Linked DNA regions of Oryzias latipes. The protein of the gene in region 1 interacts with the protein of each later gene in a pairwise test. Links are inferred from orthologs where the notes say so. Each region holds a gene or a part of one and is shown on either strand. Other genes may lie near its edges.

Region 1 (10,333 bases):
GGCTGAAGTTTTATGGCATTTTTTCTTCTATTTTCTATTTATCTTTTTTTTAGCTTCCACTGTAACAGTTATGGGTTAAGAGAAAATCAATATCATATTTTAATGGTTCCTACATGAAATCTAGTGTAGAAATAAAGTTTAAAGCAGCTGCAGAAAATTTACAGAGGGTGAAGATAAAGTTTACCCTAAAAAGTAACGGGAAACTGAAGACTTAAAATAAAAAAGTCAGAGGGGCGGTCCTTAATAAAAATTGTCTAGCGTTAAACCAGTTCGTGGCCTGAAAAAAAGCTTAGAACCACTGATGTAAAAGATGATCTGATCTGAATGATGATGCGTTCCGTGGATGACATGGATAACGTCTGGTCACCGTCCGCGTGTTGTGCTTTAACAGCTTTATTTTATTCAGACCTTATATCTACACAGAAAAGATACATTTGATGTTACATTTCCATTTTTTCCCCCTAAAGATCCTGTGCAGCAATTACAAGAAAATCCTTCTGATTCCACACCAGTAACCCTGAAGATAAAAGCTGTACCGGAGCGTCAGACCAGGAAGTCCACCGCTTCTGTCTCATTGAAGAAAACCGTCATTGACTCTAGCGGAAGGTCATCCAGGATAGAAAACAGCTCGGCCAGGTTATTGGTGAGTCATGGAGAGCACAGAGCCTCCTCGTCTGCCACGCTGGATCCCAAAAGAAAAGAAAAGCCCTCGCACCAAAATAACAATGGCGGTGAGGTATCCATGGAGATTTCTGAGACGCCACTGCCCACGCTATCCCCCACTTTGGACAGTTTGGCCACTCGGGTTAACTCGGAGGAAACCATCCCTTCTTCAGGTGCCATTATTAATTCAACCTTAGTCTCTTCATCAGAAGACTCTGCGCTGCCAGAAGCTCTAAATGTGGACAAGAATCAAAGTCAGGGATCCAATAAAAAGAATCCTCCTCCTTGTCTAGCTGTAAATGACCAGCTTGTTGTAGTGTCTCCTTTGGGAGTTCAGGAGAACAACACCCAAAGTTCAAGTCTTCAGTCTTCTGTGTCAGTTTTAGGCATTGGAGGTGAAGCTTTGCCAGAATCTACGGTCTCAGTAATGTCTTTCTCTACCAGCTCTACTGCTACAAGTGCCTCCGCCTCTTTAGTTTCCATCCCTGTGCTTGGAGCAGCTACACCTGCCCTAACATCTGTAACCCCTGCACCCCAATCCAGCACTCTGTCCTCACCTCCCTCTGTTGTAGGGAGTTATTCAGCCACCAACCCTACAACCCCTATCAAAGCCACAGGAGATTCTAGCAATGTAGTGTCCTTAAAGATCATCATAAGCGATAACAAAGATGAGGATACTTCCAAAGATACCACCTTAAATCGAGCCATTTCAGGAATCTCGGTGGACAAGATTCCCACTATCTACCTTTCGTCTCCAGCCAAGTCACCCGGAGGACCTGGTACTCCAAAGGCCAACTTTGATGAGGCAGCACAGGCGGTCCGTGGCTTGCAAAGCTCTGAAGCATTTGGCAGTCCAGCCAGGTGTCGAGCTGGAGCGATATCCACGTCTCCATTTGGTAGAACGTCGCATCCCCAGCAAAGATATATAATTCAGTTGCCCGTGGATGCAGCTAAACCTGCCATCCAGGAGTCTCCTGCCAGCTATTTCCTTGTGACTCCAACAGCAGATGTTCAAGCGAAACAGGTGCAGCTTCCTTCCGATGTCTTAGGACAGCCTCTGACAGCCAGTCCGTTTGGGCTAACCACACCAGGACTTACCGAAAGCTTCTCCACAGGTGAGAGACAAAACACTCAAAGGAAGGTATCATTTTTTCCACGTTTGCTGTTGTCCTTGACTGTGTCTTGGATTTTCCATTTGCAGGGTCTACAATCATCTTGCCCTCCGCTGTAAACCCTGTGGTTCTTCCTGTTTCTGTGGTGGGCCAGAACCCCTTGGGAAATGTGCAGCTGGTGTCCAATCAGGTAAAGGAGATTCTCTGTTTTTGTTAGAAAGAATAACGTCTGCTCTCCCCATAGCTGCACGAGTCGGTCAAAATGCGTTTGTATACTTGCAGCTTGTTGACGTACCAAACCCCATCCCGGTTCAGTCAATGGAAACACTGAAGCCCGTGACGCTGGCAGCCAAACAGGCTCCAAATTCCGGTTAGTCAATCTTTCTGTTGTGTTTCCTCTTTTTCTGATGGAGACCTTAACTCTATTTAGGTTATGTTTTGTTGTGAAGATGGATCTGAATTTCAATAATTGTGTTTATTTGGATTACAGGCATGTCAGATAAAAGCAGGGAAGTTCAGCTTAAAACCACAAACCTGTTTGATGCAGCAACGGGTCCAAGTCACAAACGAATATTGTGTTTTGAATCTTCTTCTTCTTCGGAAACTCCACCATGCAATTCTAAAACTACTGAAACCATCAAGTCCATGGCTCCAAATCCGTCTGGATCTAAATCTATTCCATCAGCCGATAAGGACAAAAGACATCCAGTCACCAGAACGAAACCCAATATTTTGGGTGGCAATAAACCCAAAAGGAGAATAGAGCCTGTCCGATGTTCAGGAGGTTCTCAAACTGGAGTGGACTCATTAAATGCTACAGTTCCTGTTCAAAAACCACAGAAAGAGTCTTCAAAAAACACTTCTAACAGCCAGAAAGTTGGCATTCAGAACAAAGAGTTTCAAAGTTCAAGTTCTTCAAGTGTTTTGCAAACTGAGGCTTCGAAAAAGTCAGAATTAGGAGAACTGTCACAACCTAGTGATAAGAATGTTGCATCTGCAGAAGAAACAAAAGCAGAAACCGCTCGGAGTTCGAGGTCAACATCATCCGATGGATCGGAAAGTAGAAAGGACAGAGAAGACGGAAGGAAAGAGGCAGCCGGGAAATCCCGTGAGGGCCGAGCAGAGAAAAGGACTCCGTCACAAGAGATGCCACATGTCACGGCCAACAAGGAAAACGAAATGCAAGAACAGAAGCAGCAACAGGCGACGACGTCTACTTCCTCAGAGTCCAGAGACTTCAGCCCTCCAGCCGCCTCACCGCAGACACCAAACCCGCAACCCAAGGTTGCAAAGACTCCATCAAAGACCAGCTCTTTGGCCAAGCAGGCAGCTGAGATGCTGCAAGACTTTCAAGGACAGAGGAGCTTGTCCACTCCGAGTAAGAAATCTGGAACGGTCAGTTCCACCCCTGGTCTTTATGCGAGTGTCCATAGCCATGAGGTACCTGCCGACTGCCCCAGGACACCCTCCCACCCTAAAAAGGGTAAAGATATCGAAGGGACCCCCAAGCATCAGTTAACTCCTAGAACCCCTGATGTTCCGACCTGCAGCCCTGCCAGCGAAGCCGGCAGTGAGAACAGCATCAACATGGCAGCACACACGCTCATGATTCTGTCCCGGGCTGCCATCGCCAGAACCGGCACCCCACTGAAGGACAGCCTGCGCCAGGACGAGGCTGGACAGAAATCACCTGGAAGTTCAAAGAATAAGAAACGCAAAGCACCTTCACCAACAGAAACGCCCTCTTCAAAGAGAGAGCTGAAACAATCTCCCAGTAAAAAGAAAGACAGGGTGAGTATGTTACTCTAGTTTTCTGCATTCAGCCACCAAACATCTAAAAGGAGGACTGTTAGAATCATCTACGCTTAATAGTTTTGGGAGTTTGCTGTAGGGCTGTACGGTGGTGTAGTGGTAAGCGCTCTGGTCTCAGCGAGAAAGCCCCTGTTCAAATCCTGGATGGGTTCTTGTGTGGAGGTTGCATGTTCTCCCCGTGCATGCACAGGCTTTCTCCGGGAACTCCGGCTGCCTTCCACAGTCCAAAAACAGGCTTTGTAAGTTAAATTGGCCTTTAGTGATTGTGTGGCCCTGTGACAGACTGGCGACCTGAGATGGCTCCATCACCATGACTCCAAAAGGGATTCAGCTTGTTCTGGGGATGGATGGATGGATGGAGTTTGGTCTAAACTTGGTAGACAATTTTAGAATTTGCTGCCAAATATTTCTATGGTATTTGAAAGCAACAAACAAGCACATTTTAAAAAGGAAAAAGGAAAGATCCAAAAAGGAGCTGAAAAATGTAGACTTGAGTGGAAGGTGCTAGTTGTCCCTGTAACCCTTGTGCTATCCTAGGCACTATAACATTGGGAGTTGGGTCATCTAGACCCACTAGACAGTGCTCTGAACCTTTTTCCTTCAATGATTTGTGATCTTCCCTGGTGTCCATGAATTTCATGAAATCTTTCCACCTTTATCCACCTTTGTCATGGTAGGGAGAACACGTCAATGTAAGGGTGGGTTCATCTAAGATAGCATAAGGGTTAACTGGCATCTACATCAAGGAGAAGGTATTTTGAATATATTCTGTTCTAAATACCTCTTTTTCTGCTGAAAGTAGATCGTTTTTTGGTTTGGTCCAAATTCCCTCACTACTCGTCAGCATGTGCACTTTTTTAGTATGTCCGTTATTTTGTCTCAATATACAATTCCAAAGTCTTAGTGCCCTGGTAATTTCCCAGAAGTCTCTGTAAACACAAACCGTGTGCATCAATGCTCACTAGATTGGCAAATATTGACCACAATGCATTGTGTTTAAACAATTTTCCTCATCAGAACATAGTCATAAAATGTCTTTGTAATAACATGTCCAGGGTAGCTTGCCATCTCTCGGTGGGAGGAGTGTCCCTGCCCCAGGTGGAGGAGTTTAAATATCTGGAGGTATTGTTCACGAGTGAGGGAAGAGCGGAGCGTGAGATTGACAGGCGGATCGCAGCGGCGTCCGTAGTTATGCGGTCGCTGCATCGGTCCGTTGTGGTGAAGAGAGAGCTGAGCCGAAAAGCAAAGCTCTCAATTTACCGGTCGATCTTCATTCCAATACTTACACTATGGTCATGAGCTATGGGTCATGACCGAAAGAACGAGGTCCCGAATACAAGCGGCTGAAATGAGCTTCCTCCGTAGGGTGGCTGGGCGCTCCCTCAGAGATGGGGTGAGAAGCTCGGTCACCCGCAGAGAGCTCGGAGTAGAACCGCTTTTCCTCCACATCGAAAGGAGTCGGTTGAGGTGGCTCGGGCATCTAGTCTGGATGCCTCCTGGATGCCTCCCTGGAGAGGTGTTCCGGGCATGTCCCACTGGGCGGAGGCCCCGGGGAAGACCCAGGACACGCTGGAGAGACTACGTCTCTAGGCTGGCCTGGGAACGCCTCGAGGTACCCCCAGAGGAATTGGAGGAAGTGGCTGGGGCGAGGGAAGTCTAAGCATCTCTGCTTAGACTGCTGCCCCCGCGACCCGGTCCCGGATAAGCGGAGAAGATGGGTGGATGGATGGATAACATGTCCAGATTTATTAGCTGTTTAATTCATATTTGGTGTTTAAAACAAAATGTATTGATATCAAATGTGTTTGAATTTCATTAAAATCCAGGGTCCTACACTAAATAGTCTTTTGGGGGTGGGGTTAGACTTATTTGATCTAACTTTTTTTTTTTCCTTTCTAACTTGTCCTGTCCAACAGCTGAGCAGACAGATGAGAGCTGAAAGTTTATTGTGTTGGACATATTTTACTGTTATAATAGGGGTTATAAATCTTCTGACACACTAGGAATAAACCTCTTTTGTAATTTAGGCTAAACTTTATTCAACTTACTTGTATCTGTAACAGTCTTTTGTTGGACCTGACGGAAAAGAAAAGAAGGGAAGAAGAGAGAGAGGGATGACAAGGGGGGGGGGGGTTTAAAGAAGAGTGGGGTAGAACCGTGAAGCAGCATAAAGCCAGTCAGATTGAGTCACATTGAGGGTGTTTTGTCTTTCTTTCTTGCTGTATCTTGCTTCTCTTAAACTCCTGGGTTTAGGTCTGGAAAAACTCGTCACTAAGAAACATTTTGATTTTTTTTTTTCTAATTTACAAGAGATCCTGAGCATTAACTACATAAATGCTAATATTTCAAAAGAAAACGGTGTATGATTAGTCATTTTATGCTAATAGATTTTTATTTTATCAAAGTGAATGCTTGTTAATGTTTCTGCCAACTAACACCGCTTTGTTTTGTGCGTTTCTACAGGAAAGGAAAAAACTGATGGATTGCTTTCCCCATGATTTGGATGTGGATAAGTTTTTGTCTTCTCTTCACTATGATGAATAAAATGGAACAATCCGGCGGGACACCAGAAACCTACAAAACCACAACACTTTTTAAGTTAGAATTCAGGAAGACACAAAAACCATAGTCCAGCCTGTGTCCGCGGTTCTGCAATCTATGGTTCCTGACTCCAAATGACTCGTTCTGCCACGGCCAAGATGACTGTTTTACCGTGTTAATGATGTCAGACCAGCTAACTGTCTAAATACACCATTAAACTATTCCATCAATGTGTTTTTTCTAAAGCATGTAGCCACTGCAAAGTCCAGATCTAACAACAATTCATCTTCTGTGCTAGTCCATCATTCCTCACCAATACAGGATCTTAAGATGGGAGTTGAATATTGTTCCACTTTTTTGAAAACATGGGGAATTGGCACTAAAATAAATCAAAAGTATAAATAATAAAAGCTTAGTGTGTGTCGAATTGTATTTTTTCTTTACGATGTATGCAGCAGTAGCTGTGGCTTGTGTTTTAGTCTATTTTGTCAGTGTTCCATCATATCCATTTTTTGGGGGACTGACGTAAAGAATGAACATCTTTAACAGATGACGCATAACATTTCACTGGTCAATATTTGACTAACAGGATGGTTTGTCATACTTTTTGGCAAATCTTTCTTGCATTAATTTAAAAAAGTCTGGTCAAAAGTTCTTGAGTGTATTTGAAAAAGGTTTAATTATTTAAGGAATGTGAATAGCTTTGTAGTTTTTCTTTTTCTTCCTATCCTGTTATGTGTTTTTATTTTTGGCTTGTGAAATAAAAATACCTTAAATGCGATTTTATTTTTTTATTTGTAATACTATATGCAACAGTATGACCGCAGCAAACATTTTCTCTTGTAGGGATTTTGTCTTTTCTCAGCCCTTGAAGTTGGAATGGAGACTAAAGAGGTTTGTGGATGTAGAGGTGAGACATATGGATGAGGAGGGCGACCTCTAGGGTGAAATGAAGGAAGCTGGAAGGAGACTTGAGAGGAGAGTAGACTAAAAAGACACTGGTATGTTTTCAGTTCTGATTTTGACTGTTGGGGGGGGGGGGGGGGTAAATATTGTGGAAGAAAGGTCATTTGTTTATTACACTGCACTGTAGAAACAGACAATCAAAATACCTCCTTGCTCTAAAGATACGCAGAGTAAAAATAAGATAATTCCTGGGATAAGAAATCATTTAGCTTTTTTTTGTTTGCAGATGAATAACGATCATTTTGTACTAATCATTTCATGGTTCAGTTGTGCCGCCTGTTAAGTAATAAAAATGAACTTAAATAGCTTGTTGATTAAATATTGGTTGGGAACAAGTTGCCTAACAAACACTGAACAGTTGTTTTTCCACACTAAATGTATACATTGTTTTTGCCTTGTCATTATTATTAGGTCAAACTTGTAACATTTTGTTCTCGAACCTGGCGACCTCGGATTGGACCTCCGAACATCAATCTACGGAAATACGTCTCATAACTCTCCTTTCAAAACAAAATTCACCTCATTTGGTGTAGGCTAAAATTTTTATTTTATTTGTGCAAAATAAAACAAAACTAAGTCACCGATGATTGGTCAGATATTTTGAGACGATTGATAGCCTCACACTGACTTGATAACGTTATCTCCCTAAGTCTTTTGTGAGTTGAACAGGAACCTGTTTTCTTTTGACACGTGCTGAATTAAGTTCCGGGTGAAGAAGACAGGAAAGAGGTACGACAAGGATATTTTAACTAACCGCATAATTTTTATTATCTTAGTTAGCTTTTGTTTTTGTTTTATAATATTAGGATAAAAATATATGTTAATAAACAGCTTGTAGCTTTCGGATAGGTATCTTAAACTTGACTAAAAGCTCGTTTATTTTGGTACTAAAAACGCCGGTGTCTGTAGCTCAGCTGTAACATGTTAGCTAACCGGTTAGCGTGTGGAGGTTTATGATGACCAGGCATTTAGCTCCGTATCTTCTTACAGGATAATTTATAGACGGAGAACTTCTTCGGTTTACTGCGTACAGTTGGTGGTACTGTGGGACTCGTTTGAAGCCGAAATAAAAACTTGTCACCCTCTTTTCTTTTTGTCCAGGACGTGACCTGCTTGCCGGTGATTGACATGGCAGCTAATGGAGCGAACTGTGAACAGCCTCAGAGACGGACCGGGACTAAAGATAAACTCAATGGCAAGTCTGCAGGTGAGCTGGAAAACTTTGAAGTACTTGTAAAAAATATGAACCCTCCTCTGCTCTGTAATTCTTCTTTTAACGCATAAATGTTGACTAAATTGTCCTCTATGAACATTCCCATCAGTGAATGACACGTCACAAATGGTTGAGTTTGGGTTTCTGTTATTTATTGATGAGGAAAACGTGCCTCAGTTTAGGAGCAGGACTTGCGAGTTCCATGCACTATGCATTTAGAATTGGTGGTTACTGAGGATGTGAAACCCGCTGAACCAGTTGGGAATGCAAAATCTCCAATGAACTGTTGTCTTTGTTTGACAGAACTGTCGGTAAGAGAGAGGCGGCAGAAGGACAAAGAGGAGCGTCTTTCCCTGGTGTTGTGGAGAAGACCAGTAATCACTCTGCACTACTTTGTTCTGGAGACACTCATTAAACTAAAGGAGTTGACTTTTAAGTAAGAAATGGATCAGTTTTACACAGTTAAGGATTTAAAAAAAAAAAAGCAAAAACCTAGTGATGACTTTTTGTCTGGCTTGTCTTTTCTTAATTTTTGGGATATTTTAACACGATTTCTTTATTATGTGGGTTGTTTTTGAATAGCTTTAGATGATGAAAATAATAGAGGCTTACTTTTACAGTAGATTTGTCTTTTTAACATTCTTTAATGACATTTTAATGAATGAAAGTTTCCCTTTTTTCATCACCAATGGAATACATCAATCTTTTTTCCTTTTTCACACACAGGCTTTGGCAGCGGAGAGGCATAGTGTTCTTACTCCTGGTCTTATGTACTGTCTTCTATATTGCGTATTCCTCCGAGGGAACACACCAACATGTAAGGCTTTACTTATTTGTCTTTTAAATGTAACGATTAGACCCTGTTTACTCATCCATGACAGATTGAAGGTTAATGATAAACCAGATTTTATCGCTGAAAATCTGTGATGCAGAGCATTTGTGCTCAGATATGGAGCAGCCTGCACTGTTGTCATGTAACCCTTGATCTGACTGTCGGCTGGCTGAAAGTTCAGTTTACAGAAACGTCTTTGCAGCAAACGGTCACAGCTCGGTTAGAGCACCCCCATGCTTTTCTCTACACCAACTTCAATTTACAGAATACAAACCTGCAACAACATAAGTTTGACATGAACAGTACAAAAATATTTATGAAGTCTTTTACTAATATTCTCAATTTTTAGGGTTGTACTTTGTGTGATTTGAATAATGTTGCAAAAATATAAACTGACTTTTAGGCTTGGAATTTTCCAGCCACCCAACATGAAGACGAAAAACCTTTTCAGACAAACTTTGCATTTTGATAGTAATACATTTTTTTCCCTCTGTCCCTTTTTATGTTCTGAAGACCACAACACATTTTTGCATTTATATTTCTAACATCTAGAGTGATTTATGTTCTTAAAGCTTCATTTTCTAGACGAGGCCTGCTCATTCATGGTCCTTGCGATCTAGCACCCTGCTTTTTTTTCCCCATTTCTCCCTGCCCTGCGTGCTGCTGGTCACCTGACTCAGCTGTGTTCATTCACTCAACATGAGGAGGCACCTGATTGATCAAATCACCAGCAAGCAGGGCCTGGAGATCTGGAAAACAGACAATGGTTGTGTCGGAATTCCCTCACTACCTAGTGCACCATAAAGGACGTACCCCATTTTATCGGGATGCCCAAATCTACAATTCCAAAACCCAGTGGAAATTTCCCGAACGTTTCTGTGAAGAACCAGCGCGCACCAACGCTCACTGGAACAGCGAATATAGACTACAATGCATTGGGTTTGACCATTGGGCATCTGAAAAACATGTTTATAAATGTGTTTCTTATAAATTATCCAAATTTTCATCAGCAGTACACAGTGGATTCATAGATAGTCATAAAATGTTCATATTTATAAGGTTTTTATTTTGGGAAATTGGTGATGCCATATGTGACATTAAAAAAAAAAAGTTTAAAAAGCAGTGAGCGTTAAAATCCAGATGGTTCTGCATTATATAATCGTTTAGGTGTTGTGGAGAAGTGAGGGAACAGCC
Region 2 (10,482 bases), on another chromosome or scaffold:
GTGACGCGCCTTACAACCTCCAACACAAAGAGGCGCTGACCCCGACCAGTACGTGTCGCCTGTGACCTCCGGCTGGGGAGTCCATTCTGTCTCACCTGCAGCAGAAGGTGCAGGTTATGCACTCCTTCAACCTGACAACCTGACCTGGAAAAAAATCCAACTGAGAAAAACCTTTTACGGGAAAAACTGGTTTGATCCAAGAGTGTCCACAATGACAAAACAAGATCATCGTAGAGGGAGGAGTTCTTACCGCTAACTTCCAGCTCTGCATTCCAGTCAGGCAACTGAGAAATTCCTCTCTGGACAAACATCAGCAGGAGCAGCAGGCTGAATATCATTTGCTGCCATGACTCTCTGCAGAAAATGTGCTTGTGCATTTGGGAGTTGGCAACAGAATAAGAGAGCACTAAGCTGTGTGTGCTGCCTAATCTGCGGCTAATCATGTGTACTGCATCCTGCTGGGACAGGGCGCCACTTTATAAAACGTTTTCTTATGGTTCAAATCACACAACCCAGCATCCAAAAAATGATATCTTAATTATTTAGCAAGAAATGTCAAATACATCCAGGAAAAAATGCATTATAATGTTTGAGCTCCAGTTCAAAGTTCAATACCGGTTTTAAGAAAACATACAGGTAAACTGTGACAGACTGGCGAACTGTCCGGCAGCCCCGTGACCCCAAAAGAGACAAAACAGCTTAAAAGATGAATGAATGAATGAATGAATGAATAAGGGCAAACTTTAGTTTGTACAAAAAAGAAACACTAAAGGAGCAGCTGAACACAATAAACTAACTCCTTTACAACAAGCTTTTTGTATACTAGTTATGAAATCAAAGATAAACACAGAGAAAAAAATCATCATAATTACCTTAATGTAAATTATCTACCATAATTCGGTTTTGCAGCATTTATACTTGGCCTTGCCAGGATTTCATTTTTCGTTTTTTGAATCCAAAAGCTTCTCGACTAACGCAAAATGAAAATATACCCATAGAAGCCCCCTTGGAATCCTAGAAAAGTCATTGCATTAAAGTGAAATCACTGATTGGCTGAGTCAATTTACCAATCAACAGGCGTCTGTTCTTTATAAAAATGTCATTTGTTTTCAGAGATGAATCCATGCATTCAGTCAGTCGTATGTATTTACTTACATTTTACTTATTTACATTTTTAAATCTACTTTTCTTAATCTGTGTGGTTGCGTGGAGAAGGATTTAGAGCCTGTTATAGATTAACTCAGGGGGTTTACACAGTGAAAAGTTGAGAGTCTGTCATATGTATTAATTGTAAACTATTTTATTTATACTGTAGAGGAAACATGATTACAATGCAATAAAATAGGATGTCTGGGGTTCAAATCCAGGGTCAGGTCATACCAAGGGGACTTTAAAAGAATTACCTCCCTGCTTGATGCTCAGGGTTAGAGCGTTGGTTGTGAGGGTTAAACCACCACAGCGTGGCTGTGACTGCCGCCTACTGCTTAGGGTCAAAGACAGAGTGAAAATTTGGGGTAAATAACTTTAAAGATTCTCCAACTTCAGCCATTAGACCAAATAAAACTTGATATGGGAAAATAAAAAGATGAAACTACTGAACACTGAATTTTGACGAGTACACCAGATCCACCAACACTCAACACATACAGTACAGACCAAAAGTTTGGACACACCTTCCCATTCATTTAAATGAGAAGGTGTGTCCAAACCTTTGGTCTGTACTGTACTTTAATGTGCGTACTGTTTGTCATTTAAGCATTTGTCGACAAATATGTTTTTTTATTTTTTATTCTGTAGTTTCTCTCCAAAAAAAAGAAAAAAGAAAATAACTCACACACTGAATACAAGAGTTTAACAACACTTGCCACTATACTCTAAATTAGTAAGCAAAATAATACAAAAAGTGTTCTTCCATAAATTCTCTATACAGTACAGCTTTACCAACGTCTGTTTGCATCAAGATTGTCCACCTACATCTGTTGCTGCTGTGTGGTGTCCTGGAGCTCCAGCAGAACAGAGCTTTCTCCCTCTGAGAGGACGTATAACACACCCTCTTCCTGCACACCTTCTTCTGCACCAACGTTCAGCTCCTCATTCCTCTTCTCCTCCAGCAGCACCCCTCTTAATTCAACCTGCACCTCTGAAGCTGCCATGGGTTCTTCCTCCAGCTCCTGATCTTCAGCGTGCTCGCTGCCAGTGTCCTCCTCTGTTTGCCGCTTTTGCCTTTCCCGCATCAGCTGCTCCGTCAGCTCCACGCTCTCATAGCGAATCAGCTGCAGTCGCATGAAACCATCCTCGTGCTCTTTGTACCTGAAACAACAGTGAAAAACACCCATAAACACCAAAAGCAGGCATATTATTTACATTGATGCAAGTTAGAAACAGACCTGAACCTGGGATGTCCAGAAGGCCATTTGAACTGGTGCTTCTTGTGCAGATGAACAGTGAGGCTATTGCCTCTAGTGAAGCACTGGCCGCACACGTGACATTTGTAACGAGCTGTAAAAGTCCCCTTCATGAGGAACAAACAGAGTTATTTAAATGCAAATTGAAGAGGATAAAAACATGTAACCACACAACCTCATGCTCTTTTTTGTAGTGGATCTTCATGGTGCCAAGATTACGGGAGGCGAAACTACAGCCGGGAAAGTCACAACGGAACGCCGGATCACTGCTGTGAGTGTCCAAGTGTTTGCGCAGGTCGATTAGGTTCTTACAGCTGCAATTGAAATAAAAATAAAAATTTCAACTGTACATCTAAAAGCCCTCTCTTCTCCTTCATGTAAACAGCCACATAGCAGGCGATACCTGTATTCACAGTAGTCGCAGCTGTATGGTTTCTCGTTACTGTGGCGGAACTTGATGTGGCTGCGGAGAGCCGACGGCGTTGGGCAGGTCATATCGCATAAGGGACACTTGTAGTGACTCACTGTTCCATAAATGAGAGACAAATCAAAACTACAATTAATATATGGATGCTTTTGAAGGCGATGGCTTGTCTGGTTTTAACAGCCTGATACATGTTTCCAATAGGATTTACGGTCCAAAACTGAATTCTTGCCTTGACCTTGTTTCAATTTAGATTCTTCTGGAAGGTGCTTAGAACCACGGATGTCAGGAACTATATAAACAGGCTATAGGGAGAAAGTAGAACTTCTGTGTTCAATTCATGGGACTGGCATCTGTTGTGGTGTTTGCCAACAGGGCCATCAGGAATTTTTGGATTTATGTAGATGCTCAAAAAGTGTGACTTTAGCTGTAAAAAAAGAAGCACCCTTTTCAGCTTTTTTTCCTGGCAACAGTGGATGCAGTTTCTTTCATTCTACAGAATGCAGCTGTGGAGCTTTTGATTTTTATTCGTGACAATTTATTGAGGACAGTAGTGAGAACAAAACTCAGCAGGTCAGTTTAAATGCTGTTCCACTTTTACTTTGGACAAGGATAAACACAAATGACAGTAAAGTGTAACAGAATTAATTTTTCTAAGAAATTTATGGTTTAAAGATTTTTGATTGACTAAATAAAAACTACCAGTGACGTCAGATAATGTGATTAAAAATAAAGAATTTCTGGGTACAAAATACATAAATGTATTGGAGAGAAACAATGATGTATGGTGAGAATCAAAGTGAACTCAATGTGTGAACAAATGATTCGCTTGATTATCAAACAGAAGCAAGTAAAGGTAATTTAATAATGTGTTACTTTTTATCTTTATTAAGTAAAATTCTGGTCAAATGTAAAAAGGTTTTAGGATCTAAATAGGTATAAATAGATGTTATAGTATATACTTTAGTGACTGAGCTCAAGTGTTGAAAAATGATCTTGTCTTAAGGACTCAGACTAACGGAAACTTACCGTGAGTCCTCATGTGGTCCCTCAGCAGTCGTTCTGTTGCAAACCGTTTAAAACAGTGAGAACACTGGAACCTCTGACCTGCGACAAAGCCACGCACAGAATGAAAGCAAGTTGGGATCATGCTGCCAACTACCCAGTTTCTAAATAGCTTAGCTCACCTTCCATGGCACTCTGTCGTATGATGTGGTCAAAGAATTTGGTGTTGTTTGCGTACATCCCTCCACAGCCTGGGCAGGCCACCAGCTTCTCCTGTGTGTGGCTGCGTAGGTGTTCTCGCAGCTTGGGACGCCCTTTTGCAGTGGCTTCACAATCTGAACAACAAGACTAACACTTAACCATTTCACATTCTAAATAGATCTATCTATCTATCTATCTATCTATCTATCTATCTATCTATCTATCTATCTATCCATCTATCTATCTATTGAAAAACTCCAGTTAAGCAAACAGGTTTACACTATGTTACAATATTCTTACCTTTCCATCTGCAGCGTATGGGGAACTCGCACTCCCCTTGTGGGATATCTATGGCCAGACCATGCATCTCCACGTGACGGTAGAACCACTCTGGGTTTTCATATGGCGGTTGCTTTGACCAATGCGGGTCACGGGAAATGGAAAAAAAAGCATTATAAAGCATTATAAAAAAAAAGGCATTGGATAATCGTAACTTATAGCCAACCAGATTTTTTTTTCCTTTATAAAAGGAGACTTTTGATGTTGCATTAAAAAAATTCCAACTGTTTAACCGATATTTCAAAGTGATAAGATGCTGGAAATTTACATTTCTGAGTAATTTTGTTCACTTGTGGCTCTGATTCATAAGCCCTGGTTTAGTCAATGTCCTCACTTAAAAATAAATAAAAAATAAGCCCTCACACAGTCAGCTGTTCATCTGCAATACAATAACCAGAAACGTTCTTTAAGCATGATCTTGCAGCATTTTTCTTATAATTGATGACATATAGCTCCAATATTGCTCACACTTTTTGTTGTATCTGTAATGTTAGGTTGGGGGGGGGGGGTATGAGGGGCTGCAGGATAGCAAGAGAGCATGTAAACAGAGATCTCTCAGCAACAGGGTAGGCAGATGTGGGTGGGTTGCCCACATCTCAGAGAGGTGAATTTCTAATGAACTACTGCTGCTCTGCTGAAACTATGTCCTTGAAAACGACAAAGGTTTTTGGCTAAAAACAGCAAAATCGTGACTGAAAGACCACTAGAAATGTTTGTAAAATAGATCAAAAGATGATTAAAGAGGGTCTTTAACAACATTAATGTCGACAAATAAAATGTTAAAGGGGAACAGTAGTCACCCTTACGGAAAATAATTGAAGAAAATTTTCCCCGGGTAGCTGATGAATTCTTTTTGCAGTCAATATATACATTGTATGTTATAAACCTGCCTTTATCGCATACTTAGAATGCATTGATGAGTTCCCTCCTAAAGGCTTTTAGGTCAAAAGTCCCAAACAACTGTCACTGAGGCTTCACTAACACTGGGAAGGGATAAAGGGAGCCCGTCTCAAGGTAACCCTTAACGTCCCTGCAGCTGGCTTTTATTCTTCTCCTGATGTCACCTTTGTCCTCTGTATCTGCTCCATTACAGATTATTTTATCTTCATTCCTTGGTTGGTCAGAACCAATGTAGTTCTCCAACCTCTACCAAAGGCTCAGAGAAACTGAAAACACTTCTAGCTCCATAGTACCAATCAGAGGTTGAAACGGCTTGATTACCATGACCTAAAAATGAATCAGCGCAGTGGGTCTTACATCACATTCCTCCCAGAGGCAGACAAAGTTGTCTGGAAGTTCGGGGATGATGTTGCGGTTGTGCTGAGCGATGGAGCAATTGCCAACTTCCGGCTGAGCATCGAGGACCTGCTGACCCATCTGCTTCAGCTTTGTGTGGTAACAGTGAAAGAAGACGTGCCTCCGCAGCTCTCCGGATCCCTCCACGGTGCAGAAGCCACAGTCTCTCCACAGACAGTTCCTCTCCTCTTCACAAGAGAAGCAAAAAGATGACATAAGTACCAAAACTCTCAATGTAAACAAGTACTCCATGTAGACTTAAACATACCGTCAGCATCTTCATCGATGCTCGGAGCGGTCAGATGAGCTTCTGCGTGTTCGCAGAACTTCTCAATTCGACTGAACGTCTCCTGACATGAGCCCCATTCACAGTCCAATTTAAGCGTTTTCTTTTTCACGCGTTTAACGAGTGGCATCCCTACAAGTCAGAGATGCACCAAATATCGCGAGGTTGCAACAAACGTCGTTAAAAAGATAAAAAGTGACACATTATTAAATTACCTTACCAGGTATATCTTCATAAAAGTGATTACAAACACAGTTTTGAGGATGACAGACGAGTTCTTTCAGTATCGGAACTCAGTGCGACACATTGGTCCGGAAGAAACAAAGTGTAAATGTATAGTTCCGCGTCACAACCGTGTTTATTTTCTTTTGACTTTTATCAAAACATCTAATTATTATTTAATTTATTTTAATTGGAGGTATAGGAGTAAAAACTAACTTACAAGTCTTAGTTTACTAAAGATATATATATATATATATATATATATATATATATATATAAAAATCAACAGGCACACAAGACTGATTTAGTTGGGAAACATCAGAGGCCTCACACTTACCTCTATAAAACTGTCAAATGCATTTCTCCGTTGCTTCAATAGTTAGAATTTCCTCATTATTCTTATATGTAAAGTCCACCAAAAGAAATAAAGCCAGACAGTGATCTGCATGATAAAAAAATGCGGACTCTCTCTCTCTCCCTCTTTAAAAATAAAAACGCCCCTCTCACCCTCCACGGGTGGTTTCTCCTCCAAGCTCGGGTCCTCCACCAGAGGCCTGGGAGCTCGAGGGTCCTGCAGTATCTTAGCTGTTCCTAGCACTGCGCTTTTCTGGACTGAGAGGTCTGAGGTCTTTCCAGGTATCTGTTGCAGCCACTCCTCCAGCTTGGGGGTTACTGCCCGGAGTGCTCCAATCACCACAGGCACCACTGTCACCTTCACTTTCCAGGCGTTCCCCAATTCTTCTCTGAGTCCCTGGTATTTCTCCAGTTTCTCATGTTCCTTCTTCCTGATGTTCCCATCGCTTGGCTCTGGCACATCCACCACAACAGCTTTCCTCTGTTCTTTATCCACCACTACAATGTCTGGTTGGTTCACCATTACCATCCTATCAGTCTGGATCTGGAAGTCCCACAGGATCTTTGCCCTCTCATTCTCAGGGCGTGGTCAGGGCTTGTTCCTGAGCTTCTTGGATGAGTGCTTCAGTGCTGTCCTGTAGGCCAGCCCTTTCTAGCCATTGATAGGACTTCTTGATATCAGCCACTTCAGTTATGATCCGGTGGTACATTCCATGCAGGGGTTTGCCCTCTCATGAGGATCTGTCCTCCAGCACTGCATCCTCTGCTCTCCATTGCCTGAGACATTCACTGAGCACACTGTCAGTTGGGGCCTTGAGCTTGATGTACTCATGCATCTTGGATGTTTCATCCTGGATAATGGCTTCTACGCTCACTAGTCCTCGGCCTCCTTCCTTGCGGCTAGCATACAGCCTCAGGGTGCTGGATTTGGGATGGAACCCTCCATGCATGGTGAGGAGCTCTCGTGTCTTAACATCCGTGGTCTGTATCTCTTTCTTTGTCCATCTTATTATTCCTGCAGGGTATCTGATAACTGGCAGTGCGTTTATTGCCTGGGTCTTATTCTTGCCATTGAGCTGGCTTCTCAGGACTTGCCTTACTCGTTGGAGGTATTTAGCTGTTGCAGTTTTCCTTGTTGCCTGCTCCAGGTTGCCATTTGCCTGTGGAATTCCAAGGTACTTGTAACTGTCCTCGATGTCTGCTATTGTTCCTTCTGGGAGTGAGACCCCTCCTGTGTGGACTACCTTGCCTCCCTTTGTCACCATCCGGCTACATTTCTCGAGCCCGAATGACATCCCAATGTCAGTACTGTAGATCCTGGTGGTGTGGATCAGCGAGTCAATGTCACGCTTGCTCTTAGCTTGTAGCATGTAAAGGAGGTGACTGATGTAGGACTCATTTCTGAGTCGGTATCCATAGCCAGTCTTGGTGATTATTTGGCTGAGAGGGTTCAAACCTATGCAGAACAGCAGTGGGGACAGAGCATCACCTTGGTATATCCCACATTTGATGGACACTTGTGCAAGTGGCTTCCCATTGGCATTGGATGCCACTTGGATGCATTGCATGTAAAATTATTGAAAAATGATAAGGAGAAACAATTGAAAAGCATGTTTTCAAATCAATAATTAAGGGTTTTATTCAGAACAGTTGCATTCATTTCACTTGTCTCAACACCCTTCACCCTAAAAAAGGTTTTACTAATCCCCACTCCGGATTTACCTGTGCCCACCTAGTAACACAAAAAGCTTATTGGCTTTTTTCTTACAGTGACCACTATTGTGATCTTTTGCGTCTGGAGAAGACTCTGTGAAAGCATGCTGCACATGTATGTTTGATTTTCTTTTCAGAAAACTTCTTTCTATAAATCATCACAATATTAGAGCAAATTCAGCCAAAGATTTTAGCTGGATTGAACAAAGTTGTCCCCACTTACTGAACTGTCCTTAAAAAGTATGAAAATATACTTTTCAGATGGATAGGCAAGTGCATTGTTTTTTACTGTAACTCAGTGCAAATCTTTATGTGAGACCCTTATATGTCTGGATGTACTACTGTCAACGGCAGAACAGCAACAGAGTCCAATCCAAAACAGATGAACCAGAAGCCCTCCAATAGTTTCACAACATATGAAGTTTTCTCAGTGTGCTTGCTTTTTGCCGTTTCTTTGTGAACCGTCTAGACATCATAGAAGAGTCGCACCAGATGATAACGTATCCCAAAAGCCACTGCGCTGCCCAACACCTGCAGAGGACACAGACAGGAGCAGGTCAAGTGACTTTCATCAAAGATCTTGCAGAACATGAGCAGCAGGTCACCTCCATACCTGTATGATGAGCATGATGACTGTGAGGTTTCTCTCATGGACGGGTCCCAGGATCTTTATCACTAGATTTATTAAAGTCATGTTGTTGCACTCAATAAAATCATCTCCCTCCTGCCCCCGTCGCACCTCCAGCAGCTTTAATAACTCTGCTACCTAATGGGAATCAATGCTATTATTTTCAGAAAAGCCAAAACATCTACAGACCATGAGCATAAATATCCCAACTTTTACTTTATTAAAGTCACACTTTTGATAATGTAAGGAAACAACATGTCAGTGAGTCTAAAATCAGGTCAGAAACCGATCTGTGATACCAAACATGTTCTCCTTAAAACTGTTTTTATTGCATCCGATTTTCATTTCCTGAGAGTGTTTTGGTGCTGTGTTTCAAACATGTAACTGAATAATCCCACTGCTTTTTGACACCACACACAAACATAGCAGGTGAAGTAGAGCAGAAACAATTCACCTCCTGTCCACAGCAATAACTGAGCAACACTCATAAGGATTTTCTGGGCAACAGCTCAGACACCTGCTCTCTGTACCTTCCACAACCCAAATATAGGAGTATCAAGACAGGAACAAGCAGAAAGAAGACTCACCTTTAAAATTAGGTTTCCCAGCTTGGAGAGATCTTTCTGTTTAAATTTTGAATAGCTCATTCCCAGTTTTCCTGTTTCTGGATTCAGTCTTTCAGAAATAGGAACAAAGAAGTACTTATCAAAAAAAGAAAACGAATAATTTAACATGTAAAGGAACATGAAAGAGTAAAACTAACCTGGGGAGCCGATGTCTGGGGCAAGGGATAATATGAAAAAGCTGAGGCAAGGAATAGACAAAGTTGATCACTTGAGGGATGAAGAAGAGGAGCATCGTCTTGCTGAAGTGTCCCAGGATACCGACAACAGCGAAGGTCATCCCGGCAAAGTAGCAGAAAGTGTCTCCCACAAACACGGATGAGGGGTACCTGTCAAAATGAAGCGAAAGTCGACAAATTAACTCAGGAGCCGTTGATATCCATCTGGACCTCCAAACACAGAAATCTGATTTGGTAAAACGGCTTCGGTACGACTCACCAGTTGTGGTACAAAAGGGCTAAGGTAGTGAAGAAAAACGGTATCATGAAGTACAGGGAGAAAACATGGTCGTCGCGATAATCACCTGATAAAGAAAACCCAAAATATATGGTTTATGTTTGGAGAATTAAAAAAAAGAAACTATGGTTATTTATTTTAATTTTCTGATTTTGATATTTATTTTATACATTTTAACAGATTATATGTACAGTGGTTGATTTTAACTTTCTTCTTTTATGAGAAGTGGAAATGTATAAATAAATTATACTTGATAATGTAAGATATTTAAAAACAAAACAAGCAAATGAGGATTACAGTTTAATTATAATTTCCACAGGAGAAAAGCATCCCCCTACCACTGAGCTCTAGCAGATTGAAGATGATGATGGAGCCAGAGATAAACAGAGCTTGACCAGACTCAATACCGTTGATGCCTGCTAAGATGTTGATGGCATTTGTGCAGAAAACTGCAAGCATTCCCATGTAGACATAGTAGAGGATCCCTGCAGAATATGAGAAAAACCTAAATGTTATGACTGCACTTCCAT

The links. The genes of interacting proteins can lie anywhere in the genome.
Region 2: the proteins of protein NPAT (region 1) and hinfp interact in a two-hybrid assay, tested with the Homo sapiens proteins (2 studies listed by BioGRID). The link is inferred for Oryzias latipes from reciprocal best matches to the Homo sapiens genes NPAT and HINFP.

The regions. Positions count from the first base shown.
Region 1 is NC_019871.2:24,856,464-24,866,796, reverse strand, and holds the end of protein NPAT, read left to right. Parts: intron 1-467; coding exon 468-1,778; intron 1,779-1,864; coding exon 1,865-1,965; intron 1,966-2,057; coding exon 2,058-2,145; intron 2,146-2,265; coding exon 2,266-3,566; intron 3,567-6,050; coding exon 6,051-6,131; 3' UTR 6,132-6,555; downstream 6,556-10,333. Other genes in the region: vmp1 (vacuole membrane protein 1), read left to right, coding at 8,223-8,301, 8,611-8,743, 9,034-9,124. UniProt on the Homo sapiens protein: Required for progression through the G1 and S phases of the cell cycle and for S phase entry. Activates transcription of the histone H2A, histone H2B, histone H3 and histone H4 genes in conjunction with MIZF.
Region 2 is NC_019872.2:15,191,038-15,201,519, forward strand, and holds hinfp (histone H4 transcription factor), read right to left. Parts: upstream 6,290-10,482; 5' UTR 6,177-6,289; exon of another isoform or gene 6,089-6,176; 5' UTR 6,087-6,088; coding exon 5,939-6,086; intron 5,859-5,938; coding exon 5,632-5,858; intron 4,448-5,631; coding exon 4,336-4,447; intron 4,170-4,335; coding exon 4,017-4,169; intron 3,937-4,016; coding exon 3,859-3,936; intron 2,930-3,858; coding exon 2,809-2,929; intron 2,720-2,808; coding exon 2,581-2,719; intron 2,513-2,580; coding exon 2,388-2,512; intron 2,311-2,387; coding exon 1,971-2,310; 3' UTR 1,771-1,970; downstream 1-1,770. Other genes in the region: CUB and sushi domain-containing protein 1-like, read right to left, coding at 1-95, 251-443; dpagt1 (UDP-N-acetylglucosamine--dolichyl-phosphate N-acetylglucosaminephosphotransferase), read right to left, coding at 8,711-8,776, 8,859-9,011, 9,461-9,548, 9,637-9,825, 9,935-10,019, 10,291-10,437. UniProt on the Homo sapiens protein: Transcriptional repressor that binds to the consensus sequence 5'-CGGACGTT-3' and to the RB1 promoter. Transcriptional activator that promotes histone H4 gene transcription at the G1/S phase transition in conjunction with NPAT.